Linked DNA regions of Danio rerio. The main gene of each other region encodes a partner of the protein of the gene in region 2 in a complex. Links are inferred from orthologs where the notes say so. Each region holds a gene or a part of one and is shown on either strand. Other genes may lie near its edges. The genes, in order: mysm1 and kat2b.

Evidence for each region.
Region 1: kat2b (region 2) and mysm1 share a complex: the UniProt entries of both Homo sapiens proteins name them as parts of the large chromatin remodeling complex. The link is inferred for Danio rerio from reciprocal best matches to the Homo sapiens genes KAT2B and MYSM1.

Annotation. Positions count from the first base shown.
Region 1 is NC_133195.1:9,285,298-9,289,608, forward strand, and holds the start of mysm1 (histone H2A deubiquitinase MYSM1), read right to left. Parts: upstream 3,125-4,311; 5' UTR 3,110-3,124; coding exon of another isoform or gene 3,051-3,109; 5' UTR 2,934-3,050; intron 734-2,933; coding exon of another isoform or gene 661-733; intron 29-660; coding exon of another isoform or gene 1-28. UniProt on the Homo sapiens protein: Metalloprotease with deubiquitinase activity that plays important regulator roles in hematopoietic stem cell function, blood cell production and immune response.
Region 2 is NC_133194.1:23,134,293-23,138,121, reverse strand, and holds part of kat2b (histone acetyltransferase KAT2B), read right to left. Parts: intron 2,915-3,829; coding exon 2,723-2,914; intron 2,640-2,722; coding exon 2,542-2,639; intron 2,461-2,541; coding exon 2,335-2,460; intron 1-2,334. UniProt on the Homo sapiens protein: Functions as a histone acetyltransferase (HAT) to promote transcriptional activation. Has significant histone acetyltransferase activity with core histones (H3 and H4), and also with nucleosome core particles.

The DNA.
Region 1 (4,311 bases), on a different chromosome or scaffold from region 2:
CGCTGATGGAGCTGTCCAGAGTCCATGGCTGAACACACACACACATGCACACAAACATAACAATACATCAAAAATAGCTCCAGAGTCATTTCATGAAGCACATTTTGGACCTTAATGCAAGGTTCACCCTTTCGAAGCTGGTTTTCACAACCTACAAAAAGTGGTGCTAGGTCCACTTCTCAATTGCAAGTAGGCCTGTCACAATTATTGATTTTTCATCTCATTGTGATTATCTAAGACAACTATGTGAACTGTGAAATTTAAACTTGAAATAATGTGCAATGTATGTAATAGTCAAAAAATACACTCTTATATTATCCTTCATATTATGGCAAATCTTTCTTATGTATTAAAGAGAAAGAGAAAACTGAAATGTTGCCATCATTTTTAAACTTCCCCTTGTTCCAAACCTGTTTGAGCTTTTTTTCCCTTTTTTTTTTAAACACAAAGGATATACTGAAGAATTTTAGGGTGGAAAACAGCCACTGAATTTTTAATTTTGTTTCTACTACGGATGCCAATCACTGCTTCTTTCCCACATTCTTCAAAATATCATATTTTGTGTTCAAGAGAAGAAAGAAATTCATAAAAGATTTAGACCCACTTGAGTGCATGTAAATGGTGAGAAAGTTTTTTAGAAATTATTGCATGTATGTATACCAGTACACTGCTGTTTGTCTTCCATGCGGACTGTAAATACTGATCCTGGAGAATCTCAGCACTGCTCAGGTCACTGTGAAGACAGTATACAAACATACACTGTTGAGACTACAAAAGAATAAAACATCACAAATCACAATACCACACAATTTACATGTAAAATTGATAATGCCAATATACAACACAATACAATCAACTCTACGGTAATCTAACTAAATACATTTCCAATATTTTTATTCAAGCTATTTATTGCTTTTGCACCTCAGATGGCAGTAGTTTAGATTCTTATTGTTATGCCATGGTTTCCCCCATGCTGTACAGCTGAATTGGGTGGGCTTCAATGTCCATAGTGTATAAGTGTGTGTTTGTGTTGCTGAATGTTTCCCAGAGATGGGTTGCAGCTGGAAGGGCATCCGCTGCGCAAAAATGTGCTAGATAAGTTGGTGGTTCATTCCGCTGTGGCGACCCCGGATTAATAAAGGGACTAAGCTGACAAGAAAATGAATGAATGAATGAATGAATGAATGAATGAATGTTGTTATTATTTTTAAGCTCACTAGTGGTTGTGTAATAATTTCTGTATTTGACTTTGTATGTGACAAATAAAATTTAATTTGAATCTATTCCTAAAATATAAACCAATATCCAGAAACATTTATATTTAGATCTGAATTTTAATGATTGTTTTAATAAAAATATAATTTCCTATAAGACAAATGATGGCGTAGTTGTGTGTTTGTGTAATAAAAAAAGGTTAAAAAAGTACAAAATATCTGCAGAAATGCAGTTGAGAAGTGACTGTAAAAATGCTGTATAATTTATCATATGAAAATGTATATTTCCCTATATAATTAGTATGTAAATGTTTGGGGTCAGGAAGACCCCAGGATCCTTACTGTGATTTCTTTTCTTGGCTGCTCTATGGTTAAAGGGAATCAGAAAAAGCCAGGTATCAAAAAAAAAGGTACAATTTAAAAAAAGAAAAGAAAAAAAAGACCCACCATTATAATAATAATAAAATGTAAAAAAATACATAGGACACTAAAAACCCGTTCTAAATAAATATGTTTTAAAAATCCTGTAAAGTGCTTTTAAAAATAGCATTTTTTAATTAATGTTTGACATAATCTCAAAGTAAAAATTAAGAGACGGTGTAGGGAAAAAAAAGCTAATATTGTTTTTGTTTTATCACTATCTCAACCGCTCTTACTGGCAGAGCTAAGCACATCAAATGAGAAGCAACTTGAAGGAGGCAAGGCATGATTGTTGCTAGATCAGATAAGGTTGTGGCCGGAAGTAAACAAGAATTAGTTATATTGTTTATTAAATTTCGCATTTATTGTATTTTATTAACATTTACCCCCTCCACAACCCTAAACCCAACCGTCACAGTTCTGTAAAAATATTATTGTTATACAGTGTCATAAAAAAATGCTAATATATTGATGTGTATTTCGCCACGTATCCAATCTAGACCTAACAGGGCATGTCAGATACTACAGAGCATTTGATTGAACAGAAGATTTGATGAGAAACTCAAGTATGAGGTGACGTGAAAAAGAATCATTGATTCATTTAAGCAGAAGTGACAAACTGCAAGCTTTGGATGTTTATATCAGTTTTATATTTCTAAACTCAATTTATGTCACTGTTTTGGAGCTAAAACTTTTTATTTTAATTTCACGGGACCTTTAAGAACAGACTTGAAGACTCAGATATGAAGAGTCACCTGTCTAATGACAGTAATACAGTTTCTAAAGTTATACTGAGTAAAAATTACACCATACAAAAATTGCTATATCTAACTTTACCAGCTGTTAAAAAAATGTAATCAATTTGTTTAAGAATACTGAATACTTTGCTTAAACAGGGAAAGTAAATGTATCGCACTAGTGTTAGGTCGAGATGTAAGAATTAAAAGTATTGTAGTCAATCTTTACAATCTTCAGTGAAGTCTCGCCCAACATACTAATACTGCAGGTGAATTAAAGTAAAGGCGCCTTGTTAAACACAAAGAAGGCAGATTTTTAATTATTTTCTAAAATATTCATCAGCTTTTTTGTAGTGAAAAGAGCAGTAAAATAAACTGCTATGACTAATGTGCTATAACTGTTCTTGCAGATCACATTATGTTAGTGCATAAGTATAAAAAAATAAGCTTGTAATACTATCTTAGCAACAAACATGCTAAAATAAAGTAACTTATGAAATATGAATAATGTAAGTTAACTGTTCAAATAACTGTTCACATAACTAACGTTACAGCAGCTCACATTCATCCTGTCAGCTTTGCTGTCTCGTGTTTTTCCCTCGCCCATGGAGTATATTATGTTAAAGCAAGCGTCGGTGATGTTTCCCAGAAACATGGAAATGAGAGAATAAACTCCTACCCGACGATTTCATCACATTCATCTCCCTCGATGTCAACAACATCCAACTCATCAGCCATATTTGTGCCGGAAGCAAGAGAGGAGAGCGAGTGTATGGAGAGAAAAGTGACTGATACAGCGCCTCTCACTGGTAGGAGGGCGATTATGATACTCTAAAATTGTATTTCTCCTCTAGTTCAAGGTGTTCATTCATTCATTCATCCATTCAATTTCTTTTAGTCCCTTCGTCAATCTGGGGTTGCCACAGCGGAATGAACTGCCAACTTATCTAGCATATGTTTTACGCAGTGGATGCCCTTACAGCTGCAAATCATCTCTGGGAAACATTCATACACACCGAGAAGGGTCTGAGACAGCATCATGTCTGCATCTAGACTCTGTTGTACACACTCATACACTACAGACAATAGCCTACCAAATTCACCTGTACCGGATGTCATTGGACAGTGGGTTACACCGGAGCAAAAACAAAAATTAAAATTGATGCGATTTAATAAAGCAAAACAGTTACCTACAATCTCATTTATTCATTTTCTTTTCAGCTTAGTTGCTTTTATTGTCTATTTTTATTCAGCTCTGATACTTTATTGTATTATTTTATTATTCTTTTATTTTATTTATCACATGTTTGAGTTATTTTTAGTAGTTTCCGCTGTGGCGACCCCTGATTAATAAAGGACTAAGCTGCAGGCCTATAAAGAGAATAAAAATAATAATTAACAATTGAAGAAACAACTAATTACGCAAGCAAATACATTACGATTGTCAGCTGTCTACACACTGATAACCCTGATTAATTGTCCAAACAGGGTTTTTATTGGAAGTTTGGAGGAAATTATTTTTTTTTTATCACTTATAGCAGTTTCAGTTGCTGATTCACTAAAATCAAGAATGTCCTACAAGAGCAAAGGTGTCAAACTCAATTCCTGGAGGGCCGGAGCCCAGCACAGTTTAGTTCCAACCCTGCTTCAACACACTTGAACTATAGGTTTTAAACAAGTCTGAAGGACTCCATTAGTTTAATCAGGTGTGTTTAATTAGGGTTGGAACCAAACTGTGCAGAGCTGAGGCCCCCCAGGAACTGTGTTTGACACCTGTGCACTGTACTAGAGAATAAATAGAGCTTGCTTCCATATATATATGTTAATCTTTAAACAATAATGTGTTTTGTGTTATTTAGTTGCTTTTTTTAATATTGGTACTACAAAAATTAAACTAACAAAAGTAATTTAAATGCGATCAGAGTTTATGAAGGAGCTCT
Region 2 (3,829 bases):
AGCTAAAAATAAATTCTGCAGAAGAGTGGCTCTCCAGTACCTAACCCAGCTCTAAGGCTACATTGATTCATAAAGTGATTTCAGGCTCTCAGGCCCCATACACACAGCAACAGATTTAGGTAAATCCACAAAACGTCTAGCCCTATTTATAGACAAAACACCCTTTTTAGAAAAAGGGATATCACAGTACCACATGACCAGAAGAAAGGAAGAAACCCACTCATAACAACCAGGACAAAACAACAATGGCAGATTAAAGCAATAGTATCTGGCTGCAGCCTTTATGATGCAAGCTGAGACTGCATCACTCAGCGATGCAAAGTTAGACACAATGCACTCAAATGGAGTTAGTGAGGTCACTGTGACGGGTAGGGTTAGGGGTGGGGTTAGGTGAGCCCATTAAAAAGCATTGGATGCAGCCCAGATTGCACTACACCATGTCTGGAGCCAGACCCATCTCGATTAAAGAGCTGTGTTTATTAGTGCTATTGCAATACAACCTTCTAATGCTCTATCAACTAGATCAAAGAAGCTTAATCTTGTTTTCTGATGATCTACCTTCCTGCAGAGTTCAGCTCCAATCCTTATAAACACAAATAACCCGCTAAGGCCCCCACTAATACATTTTAGTTTTAAAACGACATTTTAGAACGTTAACGATTCACGTCCACACTGGCGTTCCACATAGCGTTTCTGAAAAAATCTCTGTTTACACTAAACCACTCAAAATGCACATCGCATGACCACATATAATCTGGCATGCGCTGGAGCATATGTGGACATCTGAGCTCCAGGCATTCGGCAAGTGCTTTGAGCACAGCTCCCCAGGTGAGAGCAGTGCAGGTCGGACAGTTAATCAAGGATCTTCTGCTGGATTTCATCTCACTTTAATTGTCAAAAGTGATATTAAATTCATCTTGTCTCTATTTAATGGTCTATTGAATCTATTACTTTTTCTCAGCTAACGTGTTTTGGCTGAGCACAAAGATAAGTTGATTACAAGTACGCTTATAAGTACACTGATTCTGCACATTTGACAAGATTGCTTGCTTTTATTTCCCATATTGTATGAACTTATTGTGTGTTATACTTTTGAAATGGCAAAAGAGTCAGGGTGTTTCATATTTTTCACAGAAAATGAAAAGAGGCAGTTATGTTCTAGGCTCCGTTTTGTAATGAATATGCATACAGCGAAGATGACGGACACGATATATAGCTACAGGACGCCTCAAAATTTTTGGTGGCTGTTAAGTTAATATCAAAATGAAAATAGACAGTTCCTCATATCATGTTTTTATTTTATGGTTAAGAACGTAGCCAGAGTGATGCGAATAACATTATACAGTACATTATTTTTACCCGACGAGTTTTCAGGAGTTTGTTTTTACATATCCAACTTGCAAAGTCTGAACTTAAGGAAAGGATGCAAGATTGAACTTTGTGCACTTAATATTGAGGAAAAAAAAAAACAATTAGATAGGCGAATGTCTGCAGCCATGCCTCCATTTTCAGATGTGTACATTTCCCCCCATCCACACTGACATGGAGCAGCAGTGTTTCCAAATGAAAATGGCCTCTTCAGCAAAACGCTTAGTTTTCAGGGCTCACACACTCCGGGGTAGTATGGACGGAAGGCGTAGCAAAACTTATGAGTTTTAAAACTAAAATGTATTAGTGTAAACAGGACCTAAGCAGGATCTGAAGGAGCACCAGGCAATTAAAGTTGGGTGTGCATGATTAAGGTTGCAGCTAAACTGGAAGGCAGATCTTCAGGAACAGGATTGATCACACCTGAACTAGATGACCGGTGGAGACACATCAACACACATCAGATATTTGTAAATTGACAAAAATGTCTTGTTTATGTCTTTACACAGAGTGCTGAAGAAGAAAAACTTCATGAGCATTCCTCTGTGACTTTATTGTGTCCTGCGGCTCTGTTTGTTTAAAGTGCCACATAGAGTTGTAGCATACGTTTTACACAATTTTAAACCAGTTTTTCTGTTGTCGTCATGTATAGAGACAAGAAAATAAGGTAACACTTTAGTTTGATGGTCCATTTGAGTATTAGTAGCCTGTTTGCTTAATTTCTGCTGATAGTGTTACTACAACAGTCATTTAACTGACTATAAGAAACTTTGCAAGTACATGTCAACTTACACTAACCCTAACCCAAACCTAACAATCTACTTATAATCTAATGAGAATTAGTTGGCATGTATATGCAGTGTAACTTAAATTCAACAAACGGATCATCAAAATAAAGTGTGACCAAAAATAAAATAAAATAAAAATTGCCTCATTTATAAAACGTCTTATAAAATAAGTTAATACCTGGATTGGGTTCAAGGACAGAAGCTGTTTTCCGGGCCGGGCTAACACTTCCTCCTCCAGCCAGCTCCACTGGTGCTGGACTGCTGCTGTAGTACAGGGAGCGATTCACAGGTGGAGCACTAACCACTGCACCAATCAGAAAAGAGAAAGGTTTGTTTACATAGCTATCCCACATAACGAAATATAAAAAAACCCTTTAACATTCACCTGTTGGAATCTGTCCGCCTGATAAACCAATCATGAAGTTTTCACTCCAGATGGGCGAATTATGACTATAAACCTCTTCCTCCAGCATAGACAAAAACCTGGACACAAACAAACACATACACTCATATTCACACAACATCAGTTATTTGTGGAGGCTTCTGGCACTGTGTTGTGTGCTTACTTGGGGAAATGTGTAAGAATGAGTGTGCGTTTCTCAGGTGGTAGTTTGTCTTTCTCCTGGCGGGCCTGTTCCAGCAGCTGCTTTCTCATTATGGTGAACACAGAGCGCAGGAAAATGCGTCCAAAAATCTGTGTGGCCTCGTACCTTGGGAGACTGTCACAGAACTGGGGCACGTTACAATAACACAGCCACCTACGACACAAACACACGAAAAGGCCACAAACGTGTAGTAAATGTTTATGCATGTAAACAATCTGGAATTTTACATAATAAATGTTATGATTTATGTTTTCTTTCTGTCTTTTTTTTTTACCCTCCTCTCCGTTTGCTCAACCCTTAGGTTTCTTATTGGTTTATTATTCTGTCCATCATCATTATGACGTTCTCCGGTTCCACCAATCCCAGGACGAGCCGCAAGGATTTAAAGCCCTGACAGACCAGTGTGTGTGTGCGCTCTGCCTCGGCGTACCCTTTTGTGCTCCACGCAATTTGTTTGTGCAAATGCTTCGTCTATTTAGTGATTTATCTCAGTTACTGTGGTAATTTGAGTTTGCTTGTTGAACTTCGTTGGCTTTGAGTAACATAATATGATGGTTGTTGTGTGATTCTAAACTAAGCTTTGATGGACTTATCCGGTTTGTTTTGTTTTAGTTTAAATTGATGTTTTGTTAGATTAGTTTGAGTGTTTTGCCACCCGTGTATTTTGAGTTTTGTAGTTTAATTAGTTTAGTTTGGGTGTCGTATACACTGAAGATCTAGGTTTTTATTTTGTGTTTCTTTTTGACGCCTAGTTTAGATTTTAGATTTAAGGATTGCTTTGTTTTGTTAATTTCTTTGATTTGGCTTACACTCATTGTTTTTGTTTAAAGATAATAATTATAAATGTTTTTTTTCCCCATTTATTATTGTTACATGTTTCAATTATTAAGTAAAAAGCTTAAATAAGAGTAACTGAACCTTGCCTCATTCTTGATCTGTCGCACACATTACACCTGTGTCACTTAAATATTACAGCATCCCACTTTAACATCATAAAACACGTAACATTTAATTGGTGGCAGCGGTGAGATTATTTAAATTTATCTCTTTATGGGATGAAGTGAGACG